Linked DNA regions of Struthio camelus. The protein of the gene in region 1 purifies or fractionates together with the protein of each later gene. This does not show direct contact. Links are inferred from orthologs where the notes say so. Each region holds a gene or a part of one and is shown in the gene's direction. Other genes may lie near its edges. The genes, in order: AXIN1, PPP2R5A, AMER1 and HIPK2.

Region 1 (6,857 bases):
CCGGCTCCAATGCCACTCCCCCTCTGGGGCTTGAACTGTCAGCCTCTGGCCAACAAAGTCCTGCCAGCATTTCTCTTGCTCCTCCCAGGTCCAGCCAGGCCCCGAGGAGCAGTAAGCAGTGGAGGCTACTGGGAGGGATGCCAGGAGCTCCAGGGCACGCGAGGGCCCAGCGTGCATGCTGAGTCCAGGTACCTCAGCCACGTGCACCCTGCTCTACCCAACCTTGTCACCCCCCGCTCGCCACTCTCTGCCCTCCTACCCCTTGCCTTTGGGAGTCTCTCCCAGTGACTTGCATGGAGAAACCTGGATTTGATTTCTCACGTGAACTCAGCTCTGGCCAGGAATTCTTGCTGGGCCTTTCTCCGAGAGACGAAAAGCCCTCTAATACCTGATAGTCTCTCACCCATGAAGCTGCTTCAGCACTGTAATCGGGGCACCTCTTAGGCTCCTTTGAACTAGCTAAAGAGGCTGCATTTCTCAGGCATCTCAGTGCAAAATGTTTTCTCTAGAGACTGGGATCCTGTCTAACTCTTCTCTGCCTGTGCTCTAATTTTTCAGCATCCTTTCTCAAACGCAGACACTGGAACAGGGCGAGTTTTGGGTTCCCATCTTACCAGTGTCCTAGACACCTAACACCATCCTGCTCCTCACCACTCCCCCACTTCTACATCCCAGGCTGGCTTGACCCCTTCTGCTGTAGCATCAACCCCCCATCTCGGTCAGGACTTCCCAAGGGGCGGCTACCCCGGCTCCTACACTTTCATCCGGTGCACAGATGTCTCTGAAACTCTTTTCTGAATCGTTCCTTTCCAAAGTGCAGTTTTCCGTTAGAAGCAGCAGCCTGCATTCTGTGCTCCTAAGAGGTATCATTTTGCATCTGTCCACATTCAAGCACACTTTATTTGCCTGCACTCAGCTCATGAAGTTTTCTACAGCTGGCTTGACCTCGTCGGTGTCTCCTGCCCCTCTCGTTTTCCTGGCTCCTGCATTTTTCTCAGCAGGGCTTTTTAATCTATTTCTAGACCATTGAGGAAAATGCTGAATAGCATTGGGCTTCACATCAAACTCTGCGGACACCCACTGAGAATGCTCCCATTCTGCAAGGATTCCCCATTGATGGCTGTCGGTTTGCCAGTTCCCAGTCCCTTTAAGGTGTCTCTCTTGATGTTGTATTGTGCTAATTTTTAATCAGAATACTATATGGATTAAGTCACATGCCTGAACAGAGTCCAGGTCTATTATTCCTGTGCCATAACCTTTATCAGCCGAACTTGTAATCTCTTCAAAGGATGACATCAGAGTTTGACAAGAGCTATTTTCCAGAAACTAGGCTGATTGCATTAATTATATTCCATCCTTTAATTCTTTACCAGCTGAATCCCACATCAGCTTTCCCATTATTATGCCTAGGTCAGTGTTGCACTGTTACATGTAAATCAGCTACTAGCATCATTCACATGAAAGAGCACAAGGAACGGCACCCTTCTGCCGGGCTCTCCTGCAGGGTAGGGAAGGGGAATACCCCCGGCTGCGGTACATTTTGGTGCGTTTCAGAACGCTGAAAAACACGTTGTACGTTCCAGAAAGCGTCCCCTGAAATGCATGAGCACCAAACACAAATGTGAGCAAGTGCTGAACGTACAGGTACACACAGCAGAATAATGCTGATTTTAATCAGCAGCTGATCCTTATCGGAAATCTTTTTGAGCCGCTTCTGGTTTCCAGAGGACTGTCTCGTGGCTTGTTTGCTTGTTTAGCTACCGGGATCACAGTGAGGGGTCTGCCTGACTCTGACTGTCTGTTCACTTTCCAGGGAAGAAACAGGCTTCGGATTTCCCTGTAGTAGGAGTTCCCTGAATTCTTGTTCAGTCTTTGCACGTGGTAGTCCCCTTCTTTTTCTTTTTGCAGCGTCACCCAGCCCTCCCACACATGAAAGCCTTACAGTCTAGGTGTTGGGGTATCCCTTCCAGCCAAGGGCTTTCTCTAATCAACCATTTCTGGGTAAGGCACCATCCCCTCCACCTTTTCTCAGGAAGAGTCTCCATGTTGTTTCACCTATTTCAGTCTATACAGTGCCACCTCTTGGTGAGTTCACTTATTTATGCTAGCTGCAGAATTGCGGGGTTCCTCAGAGAAACAGGAGACGCACGAGCAGTTTTGAAATCAGCTCTAGTTGTTTGGCCGGGCGAGAGCCACCCGCAGAGCAGTTATCTGCACTCCTCTATCCCTTGGCCCACAAACGCAGGTCTCTTCTAGGAAGACCTCAAATAAAAATTAACCATTAAATCCCACTGCCTAGCAGAAGAGGCCTAGGAGTAGTGTGGAGCCAGCCTTGAGGATCACTGCCCTTTCCTTTCCAAGATGAAGAGAGATCTTTTGTGGGATGTAGCTGCGCAGCAGAACAGCAGGTCTCTGAAACACGAGTCTCTCCTGGGCTGTGTTCTGGTCAGGATGCTTTAAAGAGCTCTCCTGGGCTTATTTTGTCCAGAAAAGCAGAAGAAAAAGGAGGTGTAATTCCATGCTCCTTTCCCACCTCCGGAGCTGCTCAGCCTTTGAGTAAGGCAGCAGTTCAGTTAGGTTCTCCTAGGCTTTCCCAAGGCAGCAGAGCCCATGGGCATGCCAGAGTCCCGGACCCCTCTCAGCTACCCACAGCGGGCAGAAGTTACGCACTGAGGCGTGCGTGATCCCCGAGGTCACCCTAGAGGCGCGGGCTGCTCTTGGTCTGGGATATCCAGAGGGCAAACCGCCCCACTGACCGTGTCAGCCTGTGTTCACGTGGGCCGTTCCCCAGCTGGGCCTTTGAGGTCTCCCACGCTTCCGCAGTCCCCGTCTCGCCCCCGAAGCAGCGTGGCCACAGGGCCTCAAGGAGCGCCGACCCTCGCGGCAGCTCAGCAGGGCTCACGAGGCCAAACCGCGGGGCCGCACCAGGCACGCCGGCCTCCCTTGTGCCAGCGTCCTTGTCCCCTTGAGCGCTGACGGGCGCCCAGATCACGTGCCCTCCTCTTACGGAAAGGTGCCGGGCGCTTCTCCTTGGATGCCTGCCGCTGGTCCCCGGAAACGACCGCGTGGTCGCTGCGGCTGGGTCTGCGGTGGCGGGGCCGGCGGGTCGCTAGGTCCCGCACCCGCCAGGCGACAGAAGGGACAGCAGGGCTCGGGGCCGGCGGGTCGCTAGGGCCTGGGCGACGGCGAGGCTCGGGGACGGCGGGCCACCAGGCCCCGCACGCGGCCCGGGCGACGGCGGGGACGGCGCGGCCGGTGCCCGGCGGGTGGCCAGGCCCCAGGCGCGCTCCGGGGAGGGAGCTCCGCGCCTCGCGTGCTGCCCGGTAGCGCGGTGGGCTGCGCGCCCGGGCGGCGGCCCCGCTCCCCCGCCGCGGCCGGCCCTGGCTCGGCCTCGCCGGGAGACGGCGGGCAGCAGCGCGGCCCTGTCACGGGCCCCCGCGGGGCCTGCGCCGGGGGCGGCCGCGGGCAGGCGGCGGGGCCGGGGCCGGGCGGCCTCGGGCGCGCTGCGGCCCCGGCGGCGGCGGCGGCGGCGGCGGCGGCGGCGGCGCCTCCCCCCGCGCCCGGCCGGGCCCGCCCCGCCCCCGCGCCCGCCCCCGCCTCCGCGGCCGGGCGGCGGAGCGCGGCGCGGGCTGGCGGCGCGGGCCCGGCCCGCAGTACCGGGCGGGGGCGCGGGGGGCGCGGCTGAGCCGCTCTCTCCCGGCGCTGCGAGGCAGCGGCGCAGGCGGAGCGGTGCGGGGCTCGCTGCTCTCCGTGTCGCCGCCAGAGCCAGCGGCCGCGGCCATGGGCGTCCCGGGCCGCCCGCTTTGTGCCGCCGCCGCCGCCCCGCCGCCGCCGCCGCCGCCGCCCGCCGCCCCGGGCCGCCGCCGCCGCTGCTGAGCCGCATGGGCCGGGCCCCGCGCTGCCGCCGCCGCCGCTGCTCCGTGCGGGTGAGTGAGCGGAGGGGAGGCGGCCCCGAGCCCAGGCCCTGCGCCGAGGCCGCGCCGGGAGGCCGCCGCCGAGCCGGCGCTAGGCCGCCAGGGCGCGGGGGGCGGGCGCTGCTGCCGGCGGCCGCGGGGCCGGGCCGGGCCGGGCCGCGCGGGGCGGGAGCGGGAGCGGGAGCGGCGGCGGGGGCGCGGGCCGCCCGGGCGGGCAGGCCGGCCCCGCCGCTCGCCTGCCCCGAAGTTGCCCGGCGGCGGCCGGTGCCGCGCTGCGGGGCGGGTTCGCACCGGGCCGCTCGGGGCAGAGCCCTGTCAGCCTCGGAGCTTGAATCCCGGCCCGCGGCGAGCGGCTCGCTGCCCACGGGCGGGCTGAGCCGCGCGCGAGCCGCCGGCAGCCCCCGAGCGGGGCAACTTGGGGCGGGGGCGGCGGGATCAAGGCGGCCGGGGGGCGCCGGCTCGCTCCTCCCCCCCCCCCGCCCGCCCGCCGCGCACGTCGGGGCCGAGCCGCGGGCCCGGCGGCTGCAACGCGAGAATCGCGCTGCGCCCCGGGGGCAGCGGCCGGGGCCCGGCGGCCGCCTCGTCCGCCGCGGCGGCCGCTCCCCGCCCGGCCCCGACGGGGGGGCGAGGGCCAGCGATGGAGCCGCCCTCGCAACACAATGACCAAAATGGCTCGTGCGCCCGTCCCCGAGCGGGGCTCTGCGGCCCTGGCGGCCGGGGCACCCTCCTGGGCGAGAGCGGCGCGACCGCGGCGCTCGCCGCCTCGGACCCCGGGCGAAGATCGCGGCGAAACGCGCCACGCAAAGCAGCCGCCCGGCTCGCCGGTGCCCGCCCGTCCGTCCCGCGCGCCTCGGGCCCGGGTGCGAGGAGCGGTGGCCGCTCTTGGCGCTGCCGCCCGTTTCCATGGGTCTGCTGGGTCCTGGGTGATTTTGCTGGGTTTCGGTGACGCGCCGGTTGGCTGTAAGGACAGCCCGCCGTGGCGGCTCGTAGGTGGTGTTTTTCAGCTCGGCCGAGGAGAGGAACCGGGGGAGACAAAAACGGCCACGCATCCAAAAGATGCGTTCATATGGGTGGGGTGAGCTCGGAGAGAGAGGCTGAGTTGAAGCGCGTCTTCCCTGCTATGTTTGCACGTGCGATTGAGTGAATGCAGTGCAAGGAGCAGTTTGGCAGGCAGCTGGAGCTTTGCAGTACGCGAGGGCTTCGAGGCTGACGGCGTTCTGCACAACAAAACTTCTGCTGCTGCCTTTAAATAATTAAGTGACTTTGCCTAGCCGCGAAAGTAGCTGTCCAGGGATCGTCCTCCTCTGCTTTTCCCTCCTTCCCCGCACCTTCCATCCTCCATCTTGACTTGTTACTCTTCTTTAAAAACGTCACGACTGATCAGGTTGCCTTCTTGAGATGCTTTTCCCATCTTCGTTTGATGACCTGAAGTTTTCCCAGGCTTACAGCACGCGATGTTTGTTAGCTTAAATGAACCCTTGCTACCTGGCCTCTCTCTGTGAAGCGCAGTGCCAGAACTGAAATCCTGTAGTAACATGCCCGTTACATGCAAGAATGTAGTTCAGATGCCCAAAATATTGGGGTCATTGGTGCGTTTGGATTCCCCTAGCACTAGATAAGACCGTGCAGCGCGCCTCTAAAAGGCAAGAATTTCGGGGGAATTTCACATTTCACATGTCACCTGATTGTATGGGCAGCCACCTGCGCTTGGCCAAGTTGTGGGCTCACTTTCAGTACTGATTGGATATTCTTTCAGAGTATTTTTCCCAGGCCTTAAACTCCTGCTTGGGGAATGAGGAAGTACTAAATCTGTAGGCAGATAAAAGCATATTACCTTGGTGTGACTTACTACATCTGCTAGTTAGACTTACTCTATTTAATCTGCAGGTAAAGTTAGTGTCCGGTTTAGGAGGCTGCATGTGTCCTTTTTCTGCGTGCGGGCTGTTTGCCAGTTGGTGCTCCAAGCGTAGATCTCTTGGAAACGGGGACTGCCAAATCCCGGAGTCCTGTAAAACCACCTGTATTTTGAAGTTGGCTGCTCTTAGTGTAGTACCGGCTGTATCATTTATCCTGAATGCTGGAACTAAAGTTTTGGAATGATCTTTAACAGTTATTTCTACAGGTAGGAAGGGAGTACCTGCTTTGGTCCCGATTTTGCTCTCTCTGAAATGGCTCAGAGCTTTGCCATTGGCTTTATTAAATCTTCTTTTTCAGCACAGTAGTGCAAAGCAAAATTAGTGGTCTGTAAGCTTAGAGTGTTTGTTTGCAGTAATACTTGATTTTTTTCTCATCTATTTCAGCAGAACAAAGGTGTTCACATTGGAGCTACAAACATTGGTGTTTTGAGATTTCAGCTCTTCTCCTACGGTTCCTGTGCGAGCAAGTGCCATAAAAATGAACGTCCAAGGGAAAGGCTTCCCTTTGGACCTCGGAGGAAGCTTCACTGAAGATGCTCCGAGGCCACCAGTTCCTGGTGAGGAAGGTGAACTCGTGTCCACAGATCCAAGGCCAATTAGCCATGGTTTCTACTCCAGTAAAAGTGATGTCGTTAGAAATGAGATGTCCACAGCAACACCAAGGCGCTCGGATTTGGATTTGGGGTATGAGCCAGAGGGGAGCGCTTCGCCAACTCCACCCTACTTGAAATGGGCCGAGTCGCTGCATTCCTTGCTGGATGATCAAGACGGTATCAATCTCTTCAGGACTTTCCTGAAACAGGAGGACTGTGCAGATCTGCTGGACTTCTGGTTTGCCTGCAGCGGCTTCAGGAAGCTGGAGCCCTGCATGTCTAACGAGGAAAAAAGACTCAAACTGGCAAAAGCCATTTACAAAAAATACATCCTCGACAACAATGGAATTGTGTCCCGGCAGATCAAACCAGCCACAAAAAGCTTCATAAAAGACTGTGTCATGAAACTACAGATTGACCCCGACATGTTTGAC
Region 2 (7,466 bases), on another chromosome or scaffold:
CATACGTGTACAAACTTCTTAAATTTTTTATTTGCAACACAACCATGTTGGATTAGCTAACAGAAGATTGAATTAAAAAGTTTTAAAAATAAGAAGAAGAATCACATCTAGTTTTCACAATCCACTGCCTGCGCATACACAAGCGCATAGCTTTGCCTGGAAAGGCTGCAAGAATGTATTCATAGGTATGCTGAAGGAAGTCTAACTCAGAGCCCTCACAAGAGAAGGTCCTGCCAACTAATCTCTGACTTCCAATCCCACGATTTTAAATCCTGCTCTAGGAGGAAGATAACAGATGGTCTCTGAGATAAGTGATTCTACATTATTTAAGGATTTATCAAGCAAAAGATTTAGGAACACTTCTGCTAGATAGTGACTATCCAGTGCAGACATGCAGACATTTACACACTTTAACCTGAAATATGTGAATAACTAACTTGGTTTTAGTGGCAGGCACAGTTCAAGTGCTTAAACTTAATCCCAGGCATGCTTGAAAGAGTAGAGCCTTAGCACAGAAAGTATTTTAAGTTAGCTGAAAAAAATACCTAGAAAAACCGATGGAATGGTGCAGTAGTAAATACAAGCAGTGTTGTGACGCACAGGGATTTTCCTTTAAATTCTTCATTTTGAGAAGGATATCAAAAGGTTTTCATAACCTCTTTCCCCACAAACCTTCCTGGCTGAGGGTTCACCCACTTATGGCATCCTCTTTACTATTATATTCCTCCTACTGTCTCGGAGAACTAGATTTCTTGCAGCTTGACCTGACAGAAGAATGGGAAAGCAGAACTAGTTAACTCCTTATCTCCTGGCCACCAGACAATTCCCTGTCCTCTGTAGCAACCTGATCCATGAAGCCCCACGCTTCCAAGCCAAGTTTGTTAGAACTCTAAAAGTTAATGACACATCAAGTTCCCATTCATATTTTTGAAGGTCTCACTCCTGCAGGGAAGATGCTGAGAAGATGCTAAGAATATACAGGAAATAAGTCTCTATGATTTAACGAAAAGTATTGCAAACGTGACGTTTAGTGAAATCTCTTCTAGAATTTTGCTCCTCCATTTAGAATGATAATGATCATTACTTCCTAAACCTTTGACTTTTCTTCCAAGTAAAGTTAGACACATGCACAAAGTTTTGCAGGATCCATGCTTCAGTGTATATTGAAGGCTCTGATTTAAGAGTTGGAATAGCTTGCCATAAAATTACCGTTCACAACATTCTCTGTGGATATCTCAGACTTTTATGAATTAGATTTGGAGCCAGCAGCTTATAGCCTGGCATCGTGACCACGTGCCTTTAAATACACTCTAAAAACCATGAGGTTCAGAAGCTGACTCACAAGCAGCTCACAGCTGTGTAGGAAGCCGTGTGTGCAGCAAGCAGGGAAGGGCAATCTCTGGCTTTCTCAAATGTAGCTGCTTCAAATTGCCAGTCGGAGCTCTGTTTCCTTTTTTCTCCTAACATCCCAATCCCATAGACCTGTATGCTCAACTGACTTTATTCATTCATGTAATTCCACTGACCTCGTTCACTAATTCAAATATTACAAATTCAGTTTGTGAAATTAGAGCCGGTCCACGGAGCTGCTGCTGATTCTTTTTCAAAACAGAAGAGTTATAATAAAAAGACAAAGGAAAATTCGATAGCTAAAAATAGATTTGAGAGAATAAAATTGTTTCTTTTTGTTGGCTGACTCAGATTTCACTGATATTTCTTGTGTGAGTGATATAAAAAGATAAGGTCTGAAAATATTTTCAGGCGCAATCAATATGAAAATTCCATCTTTGCAAGATTACAGCTATTATTTACTTAGGTTTCTGCATCAGGAATTTCAACTGCCAATGGATTTTTACAACATTGTCTTATCAGCATGGCAGCCATTCCAAAGCCTAGTAACCTTGAAGAAAGTATTTTAAAGCTCAGAAAATGCTCTTATGTTACTTAGCATTTATATAATGCTTTTCCCTGACAGCTTTCAAAATATTGAATGGATGGAACTTTAAGATAGATTCCTTTACACTGAGAAGAGGCAGCAAGAGTTGAGTTGCCACTAAAGACTGTATCGGACACACTAGACAGTGTCACTTTCTAAAAATGGGTGTAGCAGAAAATGACAGCTGTTGGAGGGCAGGCAGGAATACACTGACACAGGGACTGGGCCTTAGTGGGCTCTGAACAGGAACTATGGTCTTTGAAGTGAGAGGTGAATTAACCAGGTAAGGAGTGCAAGAATTTCCTTTATTACAACAAATACACGAGCTTGCAGTTTAAAGTGCCTAAAGGTACCCATTTTGTTTGTAAAATGGATTTTGTAAAATATATTTATAAAAATACAAATGAAATAAAAAGTCTACCTACCTACAAGAAAGATAACAGCACACTGCAACTTATGCTTAGGGAAAAATAACTTATAGATATATTGGATAGTCTGGAATACTTAGAAAAAAAATTCTTAGACTACTCTCCACATTTTCTGAATACTAAAGATTAATTAAAAGCAAAAAAGATGAAGGTACACAAGTAATCATGCATTAAAAAGTAAGTAGAGATGGTGTTGCCATAAGAAAGAAAAAAGGAAAGACTGATAAAATGAAATAGTTCCTATAGAACAGGCTTATACAGTCTTAGTTTTCTATGTTCACACAAAGCCATAACCTACACTTGATTTTTGATTTACTGATCATACATCTGAAGTTTAAACTCCCACCTCATGAAAGTATTTAGGAAACATATACAGTTACTTCACAGTATTTACAACCTACCAAAGACATTCAGATCTGAGCACATATTTAAAATACCACAAATATTTATTTGCTGAATTGGTACCTAAAACTCTGCATTAAGAAGAAATGTGTTGATATGCACGAAACTAGTCTGTCATCTCTACCTGAACGACAAGCTAAGGCATCCCATATGTTTATGGTTCAAAAGTAGGGCTGTTTGGATATGGAAATGGGACCGGGTAAAAGTCATATTTTCATGTAGTCATATACTGCATCCTCAAGCATCATGCTTTTCATTTGGTGTAACAGTTACAAATCTTGTTTTCCATGGCTGAAATTCAACTGGAATTATATAAATTGTACGGAATTTTTACTTTTTGCGACATATTTGTAATTGAGACACTAGACCCAAATTCCATCCCCCAAAATGCTGCTATTCCATTTTTTTGTGCAGAAAGATAGAATTTCTCCTATTCCCGCCCCCCATTCTTCCATTTCATTCATACCCATGGTGTAAAAGCAACATCTCTTGCCACCCATGGGCCTACAAGATTTGGTATTCTTATTCTAAGCCACCAACAAAAAAAAGAATAAACATTCACACTTTGAAAGTTAAGCACGTGCTTGCTTCAGACAACCGTGTGTGCTGCAGCAGCCTCCAAAACGGCATTGTGACTCAGTAAACGCCATGGTAACCCAGATTCATAAAAGTCAAACACATGGGAGAGAAAAATGCGTGGTGTCAGGACAAGCAAAAAAAAAAAAAAAATAGAAGCACTCGGAAGATAGCTAAGGACAACGTCCCCCACACAAAACTCATTTAGTTGTAGCGTCACTCCAAGCACACAGCGGCCGTGGTTAAGCACGCTTTTAGCAGTTTTCTCAGTGGGGAGCGTCTCCAGTTACCACACGTGGCTGCTAACGGCCCGCTGAAAGGCTCGAGCATAACTGCCGTTTTCCCAGCAGCACCAGTAATTTCTGGCCAGCCCCAGCCCTGCCGGCCGGCCGGCCCGTGCCACCCGGGGGGCGCCGAGGCCGGGAGCCCTCGACCCCCGCCACCGCCGGGCTCAGAGGCCGGGAGGCGGCGAGGAGCCCGGCGCAACGCCATGGCGCCGGGCCGCGCCGGAGAGGCGCCCAGGAGGGCTCCGGCCCGGGGAACCTGGTCACGGCGGCGCCTCCTGACCCCGCGACGGCGAAGCCGAGCGGCAGCACTGAGGCGGCCCCAACCCGGGGAAAGGGTTTCGCCGCCCGCACGCGGGGCGCCGCGGTAACGGCTACTGCGGCGGGCGGGGCGGGGCGGGGCGGGGCGGGAGCCTCGCGCGCCCAACCGCCTCCCTCCCCGGCGCGAACGCCGGCCTTGGGACCGCCCCCTGGCGCGGATTGGCCGGGAACCGCCCCACCCCCCCACCTCCACCTCTCCCCTGCGTCAAAGATTAAAAACCCGCCCACCCCCCTTTCGGCCTCATCCGGTTGGAGAAGCCTCTTGTCAATCACTCCTTCCCCGGGAACTCGTCCCAGCTCTCGCGTTCTTCCCACCCCCGGCCCGCGAGGGGGGGTAGTGTGTGTGTGTGTGTGGGGGGGGGGTTCCATGGTGCCCTTTTCGCATTGGCTGCTCGGCGCTGCCAGTCATCGAACGCCGGCGCAACGGCCGCTCCTCCGTGCCTTTCTTGCCCCCTGGCGGGTAACCGCTGCCCCGCCCCTCTCCCCTCCCCCCCCCCACCGCCTTCCTCCCCGCCTCAACTCCACTCGCGCCGCCAAGTTGCGCGACCGCTGGCTCGGCGGCTCCGGGGCTCGGGCGGCGCGGCCGCGGCGGGCGGAGACACTCCTGGCGGAGCGGGAGGGGACAGGATGACGGCGGAGGCGCGGGGAGCTGCCGGCGGCGGTTGAAGGCGGAGAGAGGGCGTGTGGAAGCGAGCGATTTGGGGAGGAGGAGGAGGAGGAGGGGGGGGTGGAAACTGCCTCCCCGGTGGGCTCGGCCCAGCGGCGAGCGCGGCCGATGACAGCGGGCTCGGCGCGGGCTGGCGCAGGCGAGCCCGGCTGAGGGGGGCCCGGAGCGAGTGAGGCGGGAGGCGGGCAGCAGCGGCGCCGCCGAGCCCGGCCCGCCGCGGCTCTTGTTGCGCCTGCCCTGAGGAGAGCGGGAGCCCGGCACGCCACCCCCCCGCCCCGCTCACGGGAAAGTTTGGCGTGTGCCCGCCCCGCCGGGCAAAGTTGTTGCTGGGTTTGTTTGTTTGCTTTTTTTGTTTTTCCCTTCCCTCTTCTCCCCTCCCCGCCCGCCGCCTCCCCCGGAGCCGGCTCCGCGCGGAGAGGAAATTGGGAGGGAAGCAGGAACTGGGGAGCGAGGCAGCGGCCCGCATCCAGGAGGCTCCTCAGCGCCCGGCAGCGAGGGGCCAGCGCCGGGACGGCCGCTGCCCGAGGCGGCGCGGAAGCCTGCTTGCCGCTGGGACACCAGCCCTCTGCACCGCCTTTCGCCTTGGTGTGTGTGCGCGGGCCGGCTTGAGGGCAGGGAGCCTTTTTTTTTTTTTTCTCCCCCCTCTTTTTTTTTTTTCTTTCTTTTAAGCCCCTTTTTTGCCCGCCCGCTTTCTCCCTCCGCTTTAATATATGCTTGTGGAGAGCGACGTCCCGCCGCGCCGCCTCACCGCCCAGCCATGTCGGCGGCCATCTCTGCCGCGGAGAAAGTGGATGGCTTCACACGGAAATCGGTGCGCAAGGCTCAGAGGCAGAAGCGCTCGCAGGGCTCCTCGCAGTTCCGCAGCCAGAGCAGCCAGGTGGAGCTCTCGCCCCTGCCCCAGCTCAAAGGTACCGCTGCCCCTCTCCCCCCTCCGGCTAACAGGTGCCCCGGGGCCCCTCGCCTGCCCCACCGCCGCCTGCCGCGGCTCGTCCTCCGGCCCCGGCTGCGCCCTGCCGCCGGCCCTTGCGGCCGTCGTGCTCGGCGCGGACGGGCTTTCTGCCTCGGGCCGCGCTTCTCCGCGGGTAACGGAGCGTGCGGGTCGCTTCTCACCGCCGCGGGGCTTAACTGCGCTACCTGGCAGCCCCCTTCCTGGCTCTTTTAGGAGTAAGCGTTGGGAGGGCAGGTAGGCTTCCTGACGGCTTGTGCGCAACTGTAAACTCTCCCTTAAGCTGATAAATTTGAGTGTAGGAGTAGAGAGAATTGAGGATTAAAACCGTGGAGCAAGTGGTGGCTCCTCCCACGGGGGGGGTTTTGCAAAGAGGAACTCGGTGCCTGTGGCATAATATCTTGAGTTATCAGAGAGGGTTTGCCTTTGACTTGTTTGTGCTTTCCCATCACCTCTAGACAGTTCTTGAATGACTCTTTACTTGTCTTATTCTAACTATCAGGAATTGCCCCAAAGCCTCTCTCCTGCTTAGTGTGGTACAGGATCAGTCACACGCAGTGAATTAAGGTTTTTAGATGCTGGCCTCACTAAAACTCAAAGAAAATAGTGGACGCTTATCCTGTGTCCTGAAGCTAAAATCTGAATAGTCTATGTTTGTTAGAAGAGTACAAAAATGAAGTTAGTTGTAGCCTGTCACACCTTTAAACATCAAATTCAAGTTGTATATATTTCTTGTTGTTTTAAAAATTACAGAAATAGTTATTAGGTAGAGAATATAAGTTTGTTATTAAAATAAAGTGTTTGACAAGGACCTGAGAAAGACGGTGGAGGTGTTACCTTAACGTTACCCAAAATACTAAATTTCTTGATGCTACTGTTGATCTTAGGATTTTTGAAGCTGTATCATGTGATGATGGACAGCAATCTCAATTTGCATCAAAAATACAGAATTTAAATGCAATTTAGCCAGCTTAAAAATAGTTTTAGGTATCAAATAACTTTTTTTTTTGCTGCTTGTTTTCTTCTTACGGCTTTTATAGTCATGTTTATAATATTTCAAGGCTTTTTTACTCGAGTGGTAGATGTACACAGTAGACAGTGTAAATCATGAAACTGTTAGCAGAAATGTTATTAGAAGCAAATAAGCTAGGGCAGGAAGGTAACAAGGGAGTTGTGGGTTTTTTGTTTTGTTTTTGTTTTTTTCCTCTCCCATATCTGTTGCAGTAACTGTGGGTGTTCTTACTGCTTGGTTAGGATTTTCTTTTCTCTGTCAAGTTCTATCCTATCTTGGTAAGCTAGTGTAATTTGAGAAAACTAGAATAATTATTTTAATTCTTAACCAGAGTAATTTGTTTGAGATCAGAATTCAGTTTCTGCTCTTGGTATGGCTACGTTTCTGCATATCTTTAATAATGACTCTCATGCATACACTGTTTAGACAGTGTATATTGCTCTCAAATATGATTTTTATAACACTGCTTGCTACTAAGACCCTGTAGAAGCACTTGGTAAATATCATGAATAGGTGGCAGAATTCAGGGAGTTTTGGTCCTGATTCTGCAAGCAGTTAAGCATGCATACTTTATGCAAGAAATGACCCAGCTTAAATCAGTAAAATGTCCAACTTTACATTCTTTGCTGAGTTGGAACTTAATGTTAAAAATGTTTCACTCTGTACAGTTAAGTCTTAGAGTTTTGTGAGTGTATTTTTAAAGCTGTGTTCTTGTAGTATAGGAAATTCTGCATGGCATCAGCAGCTCAGACGTTTGGAAATTTGAGGCCATGAACAATCAGAGGAATGTTTTCAGTTATTCATAGTTTTATAGTAGTCTGAATTGCCTTAAATTCTTAATGGAAAATAACATCTGGCTTTGTGCTTATGGTTTAAATTTAAGACTCATACTCC
Region 3 (7,561 bases), on another chromosome or scaffold:
TCCCCTGAGTCCCGGCTGCATAAGCCACGCAGGTCCTCTGGGACATCCCCATCCTGCGCGCGTCTTGGCTTTGGTGGTTCCCTAAGTTCATTGTGAGCAACCTGTGTTGGGACGGACGTGACCTCCTCGTGTCCTGCTGGGGACTGCTGAAGCCTGAGGAAACCTCCTGCCTTGCCTCACCTGCCCCGACCGAGGGCACGAAGCGTCCGCCCGCCAAGGCCATGGGCGACTGCTGCCGTTTGCTTCCTCTCCTCTGGCAACGCAGCCTCTGGAGCTGCCGAGCAAAGTGGAGGCGGGGTGCATCGGGCCCGTCTGACTGCTGATGAGCTGGTTTAATATTTCAGCTCTCGGCCTAGCGTGCGCATTTCTCATTCATGCTATTCATCTCGGCGCTTGACGTGACAGCTAATCCGTGGACTTGCAGCAGCTCTTAGGCACCATCTGGCTCCGCACGGAGTCATCTGTTTGCTTGCAGCCCCCCTCTGCGACCCCCAGCTCTTGCCCGCGCACCCGCCGGCCCCTCGCACTGGGACGTACTTTTGATAATCCCTTTGCAAATTAAGATGATTAGGATAAAGCAGATAAAATAGCCCTCAGGTCGCCACAGAGGCTGGAAAGCTGTTTGCCTTGGAAGAAAGTTTTAGGGAAAAAGTTAAAAAGCTGATGATGAACTGGTTGAGAGTTTCCAGTAACAACCTGTAGTACATCATTAAAAACCTAATACATTGTGAAGAAGTTGGGCCATTAGTTAGCTATCTAAGGACAAACAAGACTTGCAAGACTCCGCTTACCACGTTCAGAATCATAGGGCCGACTCTCCCCGGAGGCTTCGACCGCTTGTGCTGCTACTGTATTTCTCCCAGCGTGCTGGGAAAAAGCAAGGACACAGTTTTCACCCCGAAGAAAGTACAGCGTTGACTGAACACAAGCTGTCATGCAGTGCTGGTCAGTACTAGGAAACCAAGTTAAACGCATGAACGTTTCTCTTAGCTTTTCTCAAGAGCCCGCCGAATCGTGTGGCTGTGACTTTCTTCCTGGGGTAAGATGACAGGGCGTCCTCCTAATGAGGACAGCTACAACTGTCTAGGGAGGTGTTTTGCAGATGCAGAGTGAAATGATGTGGAAGAATAAACCAGGGTACCGTAGTCGTGTTGCATGCGTATTCTGTTCAACGACTCGGTTAAAATCAGTGCTCTGCTTTAGTTGCGTAGTGTCCCTTCCTTCCCTCGTTCGCAAATTTGGAGCACTAGAAGGTGCTATGAAATGATTAAGGTGCTTTAAAACACAGTAACAAGAAGTCCCAGTTTGACGAATGCTGGTCTGTCGGAGGACAAAGGCGTATCTGCTCTGTGGGGAATTAATGTGCGAATGCTACCACTCCGTGCCGGTCCTTTGCTCTTACCCCACTAATGCCACTAGGTGTCCTTCCAAAGCAGAGGGACCCCCCTGTCCCAAAAGCAGGAGTGAGCCCTCTTGTCCCCCCCAAAGTGACCCTCCTGTCCCCAAAGCAGGAGCGAGCCCTTTTGTCCCCATAGCAAGTCCTCCTGTCCCCGAAACGACCCTCCTTTTCCCCGAAGCAGGAGTGAAGTCCTTTCATCCCCAAAGCAGGCCCTCCTGTCCTCCCCTGTGACCTGCTGTGGCCATCAGCCATGGCTGCGGGGACCCTCCTGCAGTCCCCAGGGTGGCTCCAGGAGACATGCACGGGCGCTGGGCGCGCGGTGGGCGCAGAGCTGCTTTAGGGTTACCGATCTGGAGCCCCGCGTCATGCGGTGGCAGGACGTTGCAGCCAGCTCACCGGTCACAACAGGGACGAGGTAGGTTGTTGTGTCTCTTAAATCAGCACCGGCAGAAGGAACGTAAAATAGGGAGTGGAAATGGTACAGTGGGGAATATGATAAAATGGCAAAAAAAAAACAAAAAAAAGAAATAAAGTGGTAAAATAGGGAACAGAAAGTAGTACAACGGAGAATAGTGTATTCCAGTCCTTTTTAATTTCTGAGATGTATCTCTTGTTACATTTAACACGGACGTAACAGCCCAAACCTTCCAGCTAATGCAAACAGCTGTGCAAAGCAAACCCTCTTACTGCTATTTACTTATTTTAGGCTAAAAAACATTTTATATGGTTTTATTTTGAGTTCCTGAGAGGCATTTCCCTGTCGGTGAGTGAGGGAGGGGGCGGTATTGCCGTTCATTTAATTCCACCCTGCGTTTAATGTGGATGCAATTGATCCCGACCGCTTCTCCAGCGTCCTCATCACTGCCTCAGCTTCTCATAGATTTTGTCTTTGCTGAAAAAAAGGTGAATTTTTAATCGTGTGGGATAGCGGTTACGCCTGACCTACAACGATGCAAAAATATAGGCAAGGCAAAATTACTTGACTTTTACCGTGGCTGAACCTTAAAACAAGAGTAAAGCATGCAAATGCTACTAATACTGGGTCTTGACCGGAGGTGGTTCAGATGAGCGGAGAGTCAGTTGTTTCTGCTGTTCCCGAATCAAATTTTTCGGTGAAAAAGGCATGTAGTGGAAGGCACTCTGCTGCTGCTGTCCTCGTCTTTGGTCATGGGTATTTATCCACCGAGACTCTTTTTATTTGAGCCTGCACTTTAAACGGAGCAGAAATCGCTCGCCAGAAATCCCAAGCGGCCAGTGGCCAAAATTGAATTTGGGCAGGTGCGATACATCACTTAGAAAAGGGCGAGGGGCGCTCACACAAAACAGAGGTGGGGAAAAATGCTATTTCCCCCACGCTCGGAGCAGGGCGCTTTGCCCGCAGCGCTCCAGCTGGGCTGACTTGGACCCTCCTGCGCAGGTCTCGCCCTGGCCCACCGCGAGGACAGGTTCCCTCCTCCTCCTCCTCCTCCTCCTCCTCCTCCTCCTCCTCCTCCTCCTCCTCAGCCCAGTGCTGGCTGATGCTGTTCCCTGCCTGTGGGGGGGGGAGGTGACAGGGGCTTAGGGGTGACAACAGTACACACACGGGGTGACAGCAGCACACAGGGTGACAGTGGCATGCACACAGGGCTACAGCAGCACACACATGGGGTGACAGGGGCACACATAGTGTGACAGTGGCATGCAGGGTGGTTACAGCAGCACACACATGAGGTGACAGCGGCACACAGTGTGACACTGGCCTGCAGGGTGGTTACAGCAGCACACACATGCGGTGACAGCGGCACACTGTGACAGCAGCATTTGCATGAGGGGCCAGTGGCACATGGGGTGACAGCAGCACAGAAACAGCATCATTGTGGTACATGGTGTGCCAGCTGCACACACACCAGGTGACAGTGACACAAGCAGTGACAACAGGACACATGCGGTGACAGTGGCACGAGGCTGCCAGCAGAATGGGCACAGGGTGACAGTGGCACACATGGTATGACAGTGGCATGCATACAGGGCTACAGCAGTAGACCCACAGGGTGACAGCGGCACACAGGGTGACAGCAGCACGCACGCATGGTGACAGTGACACACATGGTGTAACATGCAGTGGGGTTACAGCAGCACACACACGAGGTGACAGTGGCACACACGGTGTGCCAGCAGCATGCACAGGAGGTGCTAGTGGCACGTGGTTCGACAGCAGCACACAAACACTGTCACAGTGCCAGTGTCACCTTGTGCCAGCAGCACACATACAGGGTGACCGTGGCACACGGTGTCATAGGATCACCCGAACGTCACAGCAGCACAGGCACGCCATCTTGCAGAAGGGCACACACGTGTCACAGGAGCACTCACCGTGTCACAGCGGCACCTACAAAACCGCTGTCACAGCAGGGCGTGCACAGCCTGTCACCGCAGCACACCCCCGCCGTGTCACAGTGTCACACACCCAGTGTCAGACGCGGCATCACCATGTCACCCACGGCGTCTTAGCTGCACACACACAGTATCCCGCAACCGGGGCCTCACGGCGCCACGCACACCATGTCACGCATGCTGTCACTGTATCACCCACAGCGTCACAGTCTCACACACCCCGCGTTACACAACCAGCGCGTCCCCATGCCACCCGCGGTGCCACAGCTACACGCACAGTGCCAAACAACCAGGGTGTCCCCACATCACCCACAACACCACAGTGCGTGCGCGCAGTGTCACACGACCAGGCGACGCCTGTGCCACCTGTGGTGTCACAGCCGCACACGGTGCCACACACACGGCGTCCCCGTGTCACCCGCTGAGTCACAGCCACCCCCAAGTCACACCACCAGGCTGTCCCCGCGGGGTCCCCGGGGAGGGAGGGGGGGGCGTCACAAGCGCCAACGGCCGCCGCCCCGCCGCCAACGGCCGCCCGCCCTCGCGCCGCCAACGGCCGCTCCCCCCCTCCGCCGCCCCGCGCGCCGCCAACGGCCGCTCCCCCCCCCCGCCCCGCGCGCCGCCAACGGCCGCCCGCCGCCCCGCCCCGCCCCGCCCGGCCCCGCCCCCGCCCGGCGCTGCCCGCCGCCCGCCGGCGCCGCGCGGGGCGGGCTCGCTGACCCGCCCGGCCCCTCCTCGGCCCGCCCTCGCCGGCGCCGCAGCCTGTCGCTGCCGGGGGCCCTCCCCCGCGGTCGGAGCGAGCGCAGGGCGGCGGGGCAGGCCGCGGTTGGCGGGGGCGGCCCGCGCCGCACACAATGCCCGGCCGCTGAACCTCCCCGCCCGCATCGGCGGGCTGCCGGCGGCGCAGCGCAGCCGGTAAGTGCCGGCCGCGGCCCCCGGAGCCGGAGCCTCTTCCCCCGCAGCCATGTCGCCGCGCCCAGGGACGCGCCGGCCCGGCTCGGTCCGGCCGGCGGCGAGCGGGTGGCGGCCGCTCGGCTTTTGTGTGGAGCCCGGGCGGCGGAGGCCCGGCGGGCGGGCCGAGGGGCCGGGGGGCGGCGGCGGGCAGGCCCGGGGCTGGGCGCCGCCCGGGCTGGGCTCGCCTCGCCTCACGGCAGCGGCGGGCGGGCGGGCGGGCGGGAGGCGTCGCGCGTGTCCCCGCCGCCGCCCGCGCTCCGCCCCCCCCCCACCCCCTCCCCCGGGGCCCGGTGTCCCGGGAGGCCGGGGTTGGGGGCGGGGGGGGAGCGCTGCCCTGGGCAGCGCTGCGGCGGCCCCCGCGGGCCTGCGCCGGCGCCTGGCGACCTGAGCGTGTGCCCCCCGCACACGGCTAATGCCCCTCGTCTGCCTCGTTGCCTGATCGCTTTCTCACTCGCGACCAGCTGCCTTTGCATCGTCCAGCGTGTTAAAATCGTAAAGCTTATCTCTAACTTTGCAGGGTTCTAACAGAGCGCCTTGAGGGTGCGGGCAGCTGTTCGTGTTCTGATCGCCTTTTAGAAACGGTGCCAGTAGTTTGGTTGGCTTGGAGCAGCAGTTAAATCCATCGGACGAGTGGAAATTTGCCCCTGCAGTTTGCTTCGGACTTCTTTCTGAGCCGCGTTTTTGTAGAGGTGAGACCCACGGAGTGAAAGAGCTGTATCGGCACGTTCGGTGATGAATTTGAGGGGGCTGTGTGAAATGGTGCGCTTCTGCCAGTGGTGCTGGTCTTGCCTTCTGCTGCTTCCTGCAGCTCCCTTCATCTGCTGCAGCCTTGCCGAGAGAGATTCTCGGCGGCACCCCTGCTCAAATGAATACAGCGCCGCAAAAGCGCACTCCCTAACACACCTCTTGTGAGGAATGAGCAGCCAAAGCCTTTTGGAAATTTGCTCGTCTGGAGAGCTTGCTGTTGTAGCCTTTGCGATGGTGGAACTCTAAACCTCAAGTGCTTTCCATGTTCTGCAGAGGCGTGTGGACCCTCTGGCCCAATTCATTTGTGGGGTGAGTGGGAACTCTGACTCCACCAAGAGCTGTGCGAAGGGTGAGATTGCCCCGTAAGTCCCATCCCATACAGGGTGGTGGGTCACAGGCAGGGAGAACTTAAGGTTGAGATGGTAAGTCTTGAAATGGGCCTGGCGTCCCAGGACACAGTCCACAGCACAGGCTGTCTGGTGGCAGCCTGGTGAGGAAACAGAGGAGAGATAGGCTGCTCTAGTTCACGTCCTTGCTGAGTGGGAAACGTGGCTGAAGTTCCTCTTTTATGAAACAGTTCTCCATTTAAACTGAACCAACCTGAGAGATGCTGCACTTTTGCCATCTCATCTTCTCCTTTTCCCTGATGATTTCCATGAGCAACCTCCAGAAAGCCTGCTTGTGCTGTACTTCTGAGAGTTAAACTAAACAGATTAACTCTGGACAGGTTGGACAGTTTGTACAGTCAATGATCTCTTTGTCCTGCCCTCCCCTTCCTTCTCCCCTAGAGCTGAACTACTCTGAAGTGGGTTGTTCGCTTTCAGAGATGGTGCCTTCAGGGCAGAGAAAATATCTTGACAAATGGTTGACACAGAGTGAGCTCTGGATTATCCTGTCAAAGCAGGTGGTAGACCCTTGGGGCTTTCTAAGGCCCTTAGAAAGCCTTTTGCAAAGAGTCTTGCAGCACAGTTCTTTGCAGTGTCAGATGTGGCCCCAGATTCCTGCATGTGTTTCTCCTCCCCCAGCCATCATACCCCAAGTGCTAACTCCGAGTGGCTTGTGGCCCTGCTTTTAGGTGGCTGGTGTCCTGTCGAGCAAAAATCAGCTATCTGCAAGCTGCAACCGGAACGCTGATTTTTTTTCAGTGCAGTTTTTGAAAGAACAAAAGAGCTGAGCTGCACTGGTCAGGCTTCTGTCGGTGCTTACTCTGTATGCTTCAGGCCTGCATAGGATTTGAGCTATTGAGCAAGCGTTAGTGTTCGGGTTAACAGTGAACTGCTTGAGCCCCTTGATCCAGCCAGTCTTCCCCAAATACCGGGTGACTGCCTGTATGTGTTTTCTGGAAATGTCTCCTTTCCTCAATTGTATTGTAATCCTTCTCACCAGACTTCTCTTTCACGTAAGAAAATTAAATGTTGGCCAGTTGTGAGGTGAAGCACAGCAGCAGATCAGACTTGGCCCCCTGGCCAGCAGACAGATAAACTATGCTTGCAGCAGAGAACAAAAACAAAGCTGTACCCACATGGTTTCGAGTGGGGAGAGGCACAGGAATGCCTACGTAGGAGGAATCTGCGTTCTAATTCTGTACCAGACTTAAGGGAGGCGTTGCGACTTCTTCAGGCAGAGCTGTTAAACTTGCACCAGGCTCGTAAAAGTATTTGCTTGCTTGCTTTTTTTTTTTTTTTTTTTCAAATGTGGTTACTACTCACAGAACTTGTAGCTGTGATCTCAATGAACAGAGTGCGTCTGAGGAAAAAACGTGGTGCTCCTGGCTTACCCCTTCGGTTTGTGTGGGTCGTCGCTGTGACGCCGTGATAGTTGAACAAGTTAGCTTTGGTCAAGATTGAAGTCCTGTAGCAAGGAGAGATTTTGCAGTCCGCGGTGCCTTCTTTCTTCTCAGTAGTATCTCGGTTGTTTCCCAGACCAGCTCCAACCCCCCCTGCCCAGTGTTAAAATATGATGAAACATGAAAGAATTTCCTTTTGCAAAAGAAGAAACAGAAACTCCGAGCAGGGGAACGCTGAGGTCGGTGACGAATGCAAATCTCAAAGATCAGAAAGATGCGGTGCTCGTGGGTGCGGCGACCAG
Region 4 (7,992 bases), on another chromosome or scaffold:
GTCTCCTTCAGGTTTCTTTAGGAGAAAGCGGGAAAAACTGCACCTTGGTAGGCTGCATCTCCAGCATTGCCCCTTGCACGCTGTTGGCATAGCTATGGCCTGCTGGAGGGAGCAGAGACGGGGAGGCACGCTGCCTGCATGGCTCTCTGAGCCCCTCTCACCCTTGCCCAAACAGCTCAAGCTGGGCCCCGCTATGTGCGCAGCTCATCCGTTTTCCTCCGGCGCTCATGGGGACGCAGCAGTGGTCACCACCAGCGCCTCTGGGAAGATCTTGAAGAGGCATTTGCTCATCGTGCTCGGTTACGTGACAGCCAGTAGCCCTGACTTCACTGCCACATTTCTGCGATGAGCTTGAGCCAAAGCCACTGCTGACTATGGGATTCTCCCTGTTTCGTTCAGCAGATGTTAGAGCCGGCCCTATGCACGGGCTTTGACCTTATTTTTGAATGATGACTGACAGTCATGTCTGAAAACTTGCCTGCTTTCCTTCTCTCACTCTGTCCTCCTTTTACCCTGGCCAAAATCTGTTTCAACTTCCAAAAAAGAAAGAAAGAAAAAAAGAACACCACTCCCAAGCCCTCACCACTTCTGGCAAAGAACAGTAACTCTTCCCTATATTGCAGTTACGTGTAGAGGCTCTGGTTGTTACCAGCAGCCTCCGAGACATGTCAGTCATACACTATGTGTCCTTCTGGAGAAGAGAGCAACATGCCCAGGGTCGCCGAGATCTGAGTATCTGGACCAGAAATGGAAACTAGCCCTCCTGAATCACAGCCCGGTGCTGTAAGAAGGCATCCTTCCCTCCCCAGGCTTCGTATCCACCACCACTGTCAGTGAGTTATGGTGGACAGAGCTGATGATGCCGCTCTTTTGGTGGTGCGCGATGCTGCCTGACAAGGCTGTGCGTTTCATGAGTGTGCTGAGTACTTATATCCAGATCATGGGTGTGTTTTTGATAGATTGAAGTATGCAAATGAATAAATGAAAAATCATAACATGACACGTTAAAATGTGCTTCTCCAGCACCAGCTACCCGTCTTCCCCTACAAGAAGGGACCAAAGAGGGGAAATAGTCCGTTAGGATAGGAGAGTCTCTGTGGATTGAAAATTTTAGTGACATGTCCTGTCAGTCTCAGGCTTTTGGAGAGTGGGCAACCATCTCTCATGCGGGTGGCCTTGTCCTGGGGGGGCTGAGGCTGCAGTGCCCGCGCTTGCGTCCCGATGGGCATGTTCGCACTGCGTGTTTGGCCGTGTCCAGGCTTAGAGACTTCATCCAGCAGCTTTGCTGTGCTCTGCGGCTGCTCCAGAGCTGGGGACAGTGAGCTTGTCAGCTCGGGGGGCTGCGCTGCCCAGCTGCCTGAGGGATTTTGGGGTGCGCTGCCCGGACAAGTGCTCCTCTGCCACTCCAGTGTGATGGAGAAACAAACCATCCAGTCTCTGCTGAAAGGGGGCAACCCCATTCTGCTGTTAGCCTCTGCATTTTCTGCACGACTCAACCTTCACGCCAATGCAGGGGGAGCTAAATCCACCCGGATGGGCTGCCTGTCTTCCAACATCTCCCACGACAGGGTTTCCCGACACGGTCTAGGGCCACGGTGACATCGGCAAGACAGCCAGGAGGTCCCCGTGTTGCCTGGTCTGACTCAGGTGGGATGCAGGCGGCTGGGGCAAACCTCCTTGTGCGGCTGCTCAGTTTTGGAGGGAACTGAAAGAAGGCAGTAGGCTGCGAGCTGGGCTGTATCCTGAGTGCATCCCTGCCTGTGCAGGGCAATGGGAAAGGGCAGCGAGCGGTTGTAGCTCCCTGGCCCCAAGCCACCCTCCACGAATGCCTTGCCAAGGAGACACTCCTGCCGGAGAGAGTCGGGGGGAAGCCTGTGCCCCAGAGGACGAACCTTTGCTCCTTCTGCGGGCCCAGACGCTGTGAGCTTGCTCCATGCGCCGGGTTTTAAGAACTGATCTGGGCTGCAGTCAGAGCCCATTGGAGCTGGTTTTTGTTTACCCACGTGACCTCAGTTTGCAGCAACATTTGAAAGTATGTGAGACTAGAACAGTCCTAGCTGGTGGAAATAGCTTTGCTGACTGTCCTGTCACTGCACTATCAGCAAATGAGGATCGGTGTTTTCTGTGGTGTTACCAAGCCTGAAAGGCAACCAGGAATCGTTGTCCTGGGCCAGCCACATGCTCCATCAAGTTCAGCACCTTGCCTCTAGAAGAAGTAAAATAAGCTGTGCTTTGAATCCAGGCGTTTTTAGCATTTTGTAGGTACGTCATGCCCAGGCCTTTCAGTGTGGCTGCTCCGGCGTCCCTCTCCACACTCTACTCGACTGCAGGGAGTGGCAGCACCATTTCCATGCTTGGGCAACATGAAGCGCACCCTGAAAAGCCCTCTGCCAACCCCCTCTCTTTTCTTGGGGGGGCAGGGACAGGGTTTGGTTTATTTTTTGTTTTTAGCTCCTGCACCATGCTGACTTTGATGGGAGTGGAGTTAACTGAGGACCAATGGCTGCAGGATAGCTCTGAGTGAAATGGAGAGGGCGAGAGGAAAAAGAAGAAAGCATCAGTGCTGCTGTCATGCAGTGGACGCCGTTACCACTGTCCCCATTTTACAGCTGAGGAAAGTGGGGCTGATGTGGCTAACCCAAAGCCACGCTGCAGTAAGACGCTATGCTGGGGAAAGAGGCCAGTTCCTTTAACCTCCTGCTCCTTCCCCTTTGATCATGTCCTCTGCTTTTCTCCAATGCTATCCATCTCTCCTCCATGGCTTTGAAATGGGGCTCCGCACAGCTGCCACTCTGATCGAGGGCAAGGAGAAAGGCCTGGATCACTAGCATCAATAGCCTTGAAAAGCAGATAATGTCCTCAATCATAAAAGAAGAGAGAAGCGCAGAATTACAATGACCAGAAGCATGCTCCAGGAAAATGTGAGGTTATCAAGTCACTGCTGAACCCTGATGGTACATCTGCATGGCCAAATAAGAGGCACGTGTGAATACTGCGCCCACCGTCATGCACACTGATTGCTCCCTGGCTCTGCCTTGCCCTTCTTCAGTAGTCCAGCTGAAGAAAGCTCCGTTTCTTTTCAAGACGATGGGGTATAATCTGGTGTCGTTCAGTCTGGGGATCACGCTCAAAAGGAAGAACAGATGAGACCGCAACCGGTTTTGCTCCCTCTGCTGTACACAGTCCTCCAGTGCTGTCCCAGCAGACTTTGCACCCTCAAACACCTCCACCTGCCCTGTCTGCCATTCTCCAGCACAGTTAAATTTCGTGTTGTAAACATAAAGCTAATGGGCTGCAAGGCAGCCCTCGTGGTATTAAAAGCCCTCATGGCACTTTTTACTGGGAGGGGGAAAAAAAAGTAAAATACGAAAGCTATCTGGCAAATAATGGGGTCCAGGATCATATGCTCTGCTGCGTGGACATGGCCATCCTGCTCCAGGCGACGATCAGCAAGGATTGCTCTGTGGTCCTTTTTTCCTTTGTAGCACTGGCATGCCCTGAGCACCCCAAGTCTAGGAGCTGGACCGTCAGGAGAACTTGACTCTCACTGTAATCACTAAATAAAAGTTGCCTTCCTCCTCCTCCTCCTCCTTAAGGTATCTCACCAGGAGTGGCGGGGTGTCGAGCCCTGCTGGAATCTAATCCTGCGCTGGGAGAGATCTGGGCTGGCACCAGCAGCAACGAGAAGCACCGTTTTTAGGGCTAGCCACAATAGCAGGTGCTAAGAGAATACGTCTTCACTGGTCTAGTCCCAGACTGCTTGCCGGTAAGGAGCTCCAGGCGGGCAGATCCAGATGGGAGTTATTGCAGGATCACAGCCCAAGGTTTTGTTTCCACCTTTGCCAGAGGCTTTGCTGCTGTGTGTCTTGTGTGCGTCTCAGCTTCCTTGCCTGCGTAATGGGTACCTGGTGACTTATCTTCCCTTGTAAAGCCACTTTGAAGCAAAAGACGTTCTGGATAACGTGGCTTTACCTAGAGCTTTCCTGTATGCACTGACAAAAATGATGCTGGTCGGGTTCGTGTTCTTTCTAGCAATAGCTGAATGAGAGAGACAGATCTTTCCAAATAAAATTGAGGGGGGTGAGGGTGTAGTGGCTGTCAATCTCAATAAGTAAACACTTCTTTGATGTGGTTCTGTTTAACAAAAAAAAAAAACCTCAAATCCTAAAAGCAACAACGTATGTTTATTTTAAATGCATCCTCTAAATATTTACACTGCAAGCAAGCTAAATGGAAAAGAAAGGAAAAATTGGAACTTTTGTCAGCGAACCAGATTGTGAAATGCCTTGAGGGAACAGAAGATTTATTTGGGGAGAGGGGGAGAGGTAGGAATTTTCCATGCTATTGTAAAACATGAGCTCAAATTATATGATCCCCACAGCCAGTGAATTGCAAAGCTTCAATCAGCTGCCTTTTTTATTTTTTTCCTCCTCTCTTTTCTATAAAGAGGAGGGGGGGGGGAAGACAGAAGTGTTTCACCAACTTCTGTTGACTGTTCCTTTTTTCTCCTGATTGAAATGTGTTGTTAAACAAGATCCCACATAATCTCAGCAGAGGGTTTCTCTCGCTCGCTCCCTCTCCTTCTGGGAAGCCGCGATCAGTGCCATCGGCGCTTGATTATTTGCAAACTCCCTTCGCTTTTTTTTTTTTTTTTGCCTTTTTTTTTCCCCTCCTCTCCGTCTCCGTCTCTCCCTCTCCCTCCGTCTCTCTCTCTCTCCCTTTCTCTCGCCCCCAGTGCAACTTTTGCAGGGAGCCCCGGCGCACGCAGCCATGCCGCGCTGAGCGCGGGGGCACGGCGCCAGCCCCCCTCCCTCCCTCCCTCCCTCTCTCCCTCCCTCCCTCCTTCCCTCCCTCCCCAGCGCCGCCGTCCCGAGCCGGGGGGGCCCCGCCGCCCGCCGCCCCTGCCCGGCCCCGCGCCTCGCCCCGGCCCCGGCCCCGGCCCCGGCCCCGGCCCGGCCCCGGCCCCGGCCCGGCGCCGCCGCCCCCCGCCCGCCCCGGCCGCGTCGGAGGGCCGGCAGCGGGGCTGGATGTGCCCGGCTCCCCCCGCGCTGAGGCGGGCAGCGATGCAGAAGGCAGGCGGCAGCTTCGCCTCCGCCGAGAGACACCCGCTCAAGATGGCAGATGTGTGCTGAGTTTGGGGGGCTGCGATCTCGCGTCGTTCGTGGCGGCGTTGCCATGAATAACAGGCGTCCTTGCACCGATGGCCCCCATGTACGAAGGTAAGGCTGCTACCCCCCCCCCACCCCGGCCCGACCCGGCCCCCGGCGCCGCGGAGCCGGCACCGCTCTCCGCCGGCCGCGGGGGGCCCGCTGCTGCCCGCCGGCCCCGGCTGCCCCCCCCCCCCCGCCGCCGCCGCCGCATCGCCGGCTGCCGGCGCCCCCCCCCCCCACCGCGGCTCCCCGGGGGAAGGGGGACGGGGCGGGGGGACGACGACGACGACGACGTGCCCCGCTCCCCCGACGGGCCCGGCGCGGCTCGGCCCCTGGGGGGGGGGATTGTTTGGACCCCCGAGGTGGTGGTGATGGTGGAGGGGGGGGGAAGGCGGGGTGTGGGGGGGTGAAGTCCGTGTCGGTGCCGAGCAGAACAATGAGGTGGACTGAGCTTGTGTGTGTGTGTGTGTGTGTGTGTGCCTGCGTGTGCGCCTCGGTGTAGTTTTAATTTCCAGCGCTGACCACCCTGTGCCTTTTTCGCCTTATTTTCACCGAGTTAGCCCTTTCTGGGGTTTTGCCGATCGGCTACACGTATTTTCCGGGGTGAGGAAATACTCGTGTGTGGAGGCATAGGCGCCGGGGAGGGGGGATAGGGGCTGCGGGCACCAGCCTGTCAGCTCTTACAGTTTCTCCTTGAATCAAGCCCTGCGTTGCAGTGAAAGCCCAAAGTACCCTAACTTAAGTTTTTTCGGGTCGAAAACAGAAGGGGTTGGATACGGGCATATCTCGGGTGACTGGTAAAAATAAATAAATAAATAAATAATTCTGGCTTAATTTAAATCACCTAGCGATGTGTTTATTCTCTTCCGTCACCCCTTCTGGTTTGGAATTGATTGTAGAGCGTTACATAAACTAGAGGGAAATCCATCCGGCTTTATTTTATTTTGCCCAGAAATGTTTTTTTTTGTTTTTTTTTTTTTGCTCCGATCGATTTATAGCGGTGGGAGATTTTAATGCCTGGGAGAGGAAAGGAATAGGGGAAGCAATACTTTTATGTGTATGGCGAGGCTGATAAAAACTTATCTGAGGGGAAAATCTAGCAGAGGCTGAAGTGCTGCAAATGAACGCGCTTGCCAGATGGTCTAAAGTTACCGAGCCGGCTGGGTTATTTCTGGGTAGCCTTCGGGAGCCCAGATGATGCCGACTTTTGCACCCCCGAAAGAAACAAAGAGGATTGTTTTTCGGCGGCGCCGGGAGGCCGGAGCCCATCCCTCCCCCGCCGCCCGCGGGGGGCGGCCGGGCGGTGCGGTGCGGGGCGGCCGCGCCGCCGGAGGGCGCGGAGGGGCCGCGGCGGCGGCGGGGGCCGCGCCGGGCCCGGGGTGCGGGTCGGAGCCGGCGGCGGCGGCGCCCTCTGCCGGCCGCGCCGCGCCGCGCCGCGCGGCGGGGCCCGCGCAGCCCCCCGCGGTCCCTCCGCACCTGCGCGGCCTCGGCGGCGGCGGCGGCCGGGCCCCCTGGGCTGAGCCCGCCGGGCGCGGCGCGGTCGAGGCGCCTGCCCTGCCCTGCCGCGCAGCGCCTGCTGCTCTTGCTGTCCCGAGCCCTTCGCCGGCTTCAGCGCCTTGGAGCACGCAGCGATCCGCTGAAGTTCGCTCCTAGCCGGGCTGTATCCGCCGAGGAGGTTCGTTCCCGGCGGCGGGGTTACGGCTCCGCTCCGGGTCACCGAGGCAGGGCGTTTCGCTCGTCGCCTCGCTCGCCCGGAGAGGGAATAACGAGCGGGGCCTGCGGTTGCTCCCCGCCGGCCCGGCCGCGCTTCCCTCACCGCCGGCGGGCGCAGGGCTCCCGCTCCTGGGCGAGCGGAGGGGAGGCCCCGACCCCAGCCTGGGGCCGCCCCGGTGCGGGAGCCCTCCTGGAGGCGAGAGGAAACCACACGAGACGGTGGTGGCACGCAGAAGCGTCTGCTGGGAGTTTAGCAGTTCCTTGCAGCATCCAGACTTCAGCTGTGGCCCTGCTTTTGCTTGCCTGGGAAAAGACGCTAGACCACAAAAATCCCCCCAAAAGCAGCCTGTAAGACTTGCTCCCTGGAACCCCCACAGAAAAGCCAGCAGGCTCCGTGGCCAAACTCTACAGTTAATGTCAAGCCTTAAAGTAGGTGCATGTCTCAAATCCCCAGAGCCAATAAACAGCATAAAGGCTGGTTTAGATTGTTTTATCAGTTTTTGGTTGCAATAGGTCTGTCAGTGAGGTTGCTTTCAGAAAGCCTAGAGGGAGGTGGAGGACGGCTTAATGAATGTTATTCAACTCCTAGTTGCCATGAGAGGTCCTTAGTATTCCCTGAAATACCACAGTGCACCGATAAAAACTTACTGCACGCGGGAGACGATTCCTCCTTAGGAGACAAGGACTGTGATCCTCCCTTTTCAACACAGTATTGCGTGTATAATGAGATTGGGCTGTAGTCCTTCTCTGGAGCATCAGGTACATTTAGGCCGCTAAGGAGAGCGCAAGAGCTGACGTGTTGGATTAGGGCTTGCACCGGGCAGTAACTTCTGTATTCTCGCCGTTGCACCAGCGCTGCACGAGGCCGAGTGATCTCTTTTGGCACACGCACTTACACGCACCCACCACCACCACAACGAAGGCAAGGGTATGTGGAACTGTATCTCTCCCAACCATATAGATTTCAGAACATAGGCTCTTTTACAGAAAATATGCCCTGGGAGGAAATGTGACACCTTGGAAAATGATTCCAGTAGAAGTTTTAAGTGAGTGATAACGTAGAGCACATGCACAGAGTTGCTCACAATTCTGAATATTTAGGTGAGTGCAGGGTGTACAAGAACTAGGC

Evidence for each region.
Region 2: the proteins of AXIN1 (region 1) and PPP2R5A purify together in Homo sapiens (affinity purification with western blotting; 3 studies listed by BioGRID and IntAct, with this or other methods). This does not show direct contact. The link is inferred for Struthio camelus from reciprocal best matches to the Homo sapiens genes AXIN1 and PPP2R5A.
Region 3: the proteins of AXIN1 (region 1) and AMER1 purify together in Homo sapiens (affinity purification with mass spectrometry; 4 studies listed by BioGRID and IntAct, with this or other methods). This does not show direct contact. The link is inferred for Struthio camelus from reciprocal best matches to the Homo sapiens genes AXIN1 and AMER1.
Region 4: the proteins of AXIN1 (region 1) and HIPK2 purify together in Homo sapiens (affinity purification with western blotting; 3 studies listed by BioGRID). This does not show direct contact. The link is inferred for Struthio camelus from reciprocal best matches to the Homo sapiens genes AXIN1 and HIPK2.

What each region holds. Positions count from the first base shown.
Region 1 is NC_090956.1:19,077,479-19,084,335, reverse strand, and holds the start of AXIN1 (axin-1), read left to right. Parts: upstream 1-3,840; 5' UTR 3,841-3,926; intron 3,927-6,214; exon of another isoform or gene 6,215-6,217; 5' UTR 6,218-6,308; coding exon 6,309-6,857. UniProt on the Homo sapiens protein: Component of the beta-catenin destruction complex required for regulating CTNNB1 levels through phosphorylation and ubiquitination, and modulating Wnt-signaling.
Region 2 is NC_090944.1:114,069,504-114,076,969, forward strand, and holds the start of PPP2R5A (serine/threonine-protein phosphatase 2A 56 kDa regulatory subunit alpha isoform), read left to right. Parts: upstream 1-4,464; 5' UTR 4,465-5,371; coding exon 5,372-5,522; intron 5,523-7,466. UniProt on the Homo sapiens protein: The B regulatory subunit might modulate substrate selectivity and catalytic activity, and might also direct the localization of the catalytic enzyme to a particular subcellular compartment.
Region 3 is NC_090952.1:6,355,418-6,362,978, forward strand, and holds the start of AMER1 (APC membrane recruitment protein 1), read left to right. Parts: upstream 1-4,552; 5' UTR 4,553-4,687; intron 4,688-5,243; 5' UTR 5,244-5,415; intron 5,416-7,561. UniProt on the Homo sapiens protein: Regulator of the canonical Wnt signaling pathway.
Region 4 is NC_090942.1:64,165,238-64,173,229, forward strand, and holds the start of HIPK2 (homeodomain-interacting protein kinase 2), read left to right. Parts: upstream 1-4,985; 5' UTR 4,986-5,200; coding exon 5,201-5,219; intron 5,220-7,992.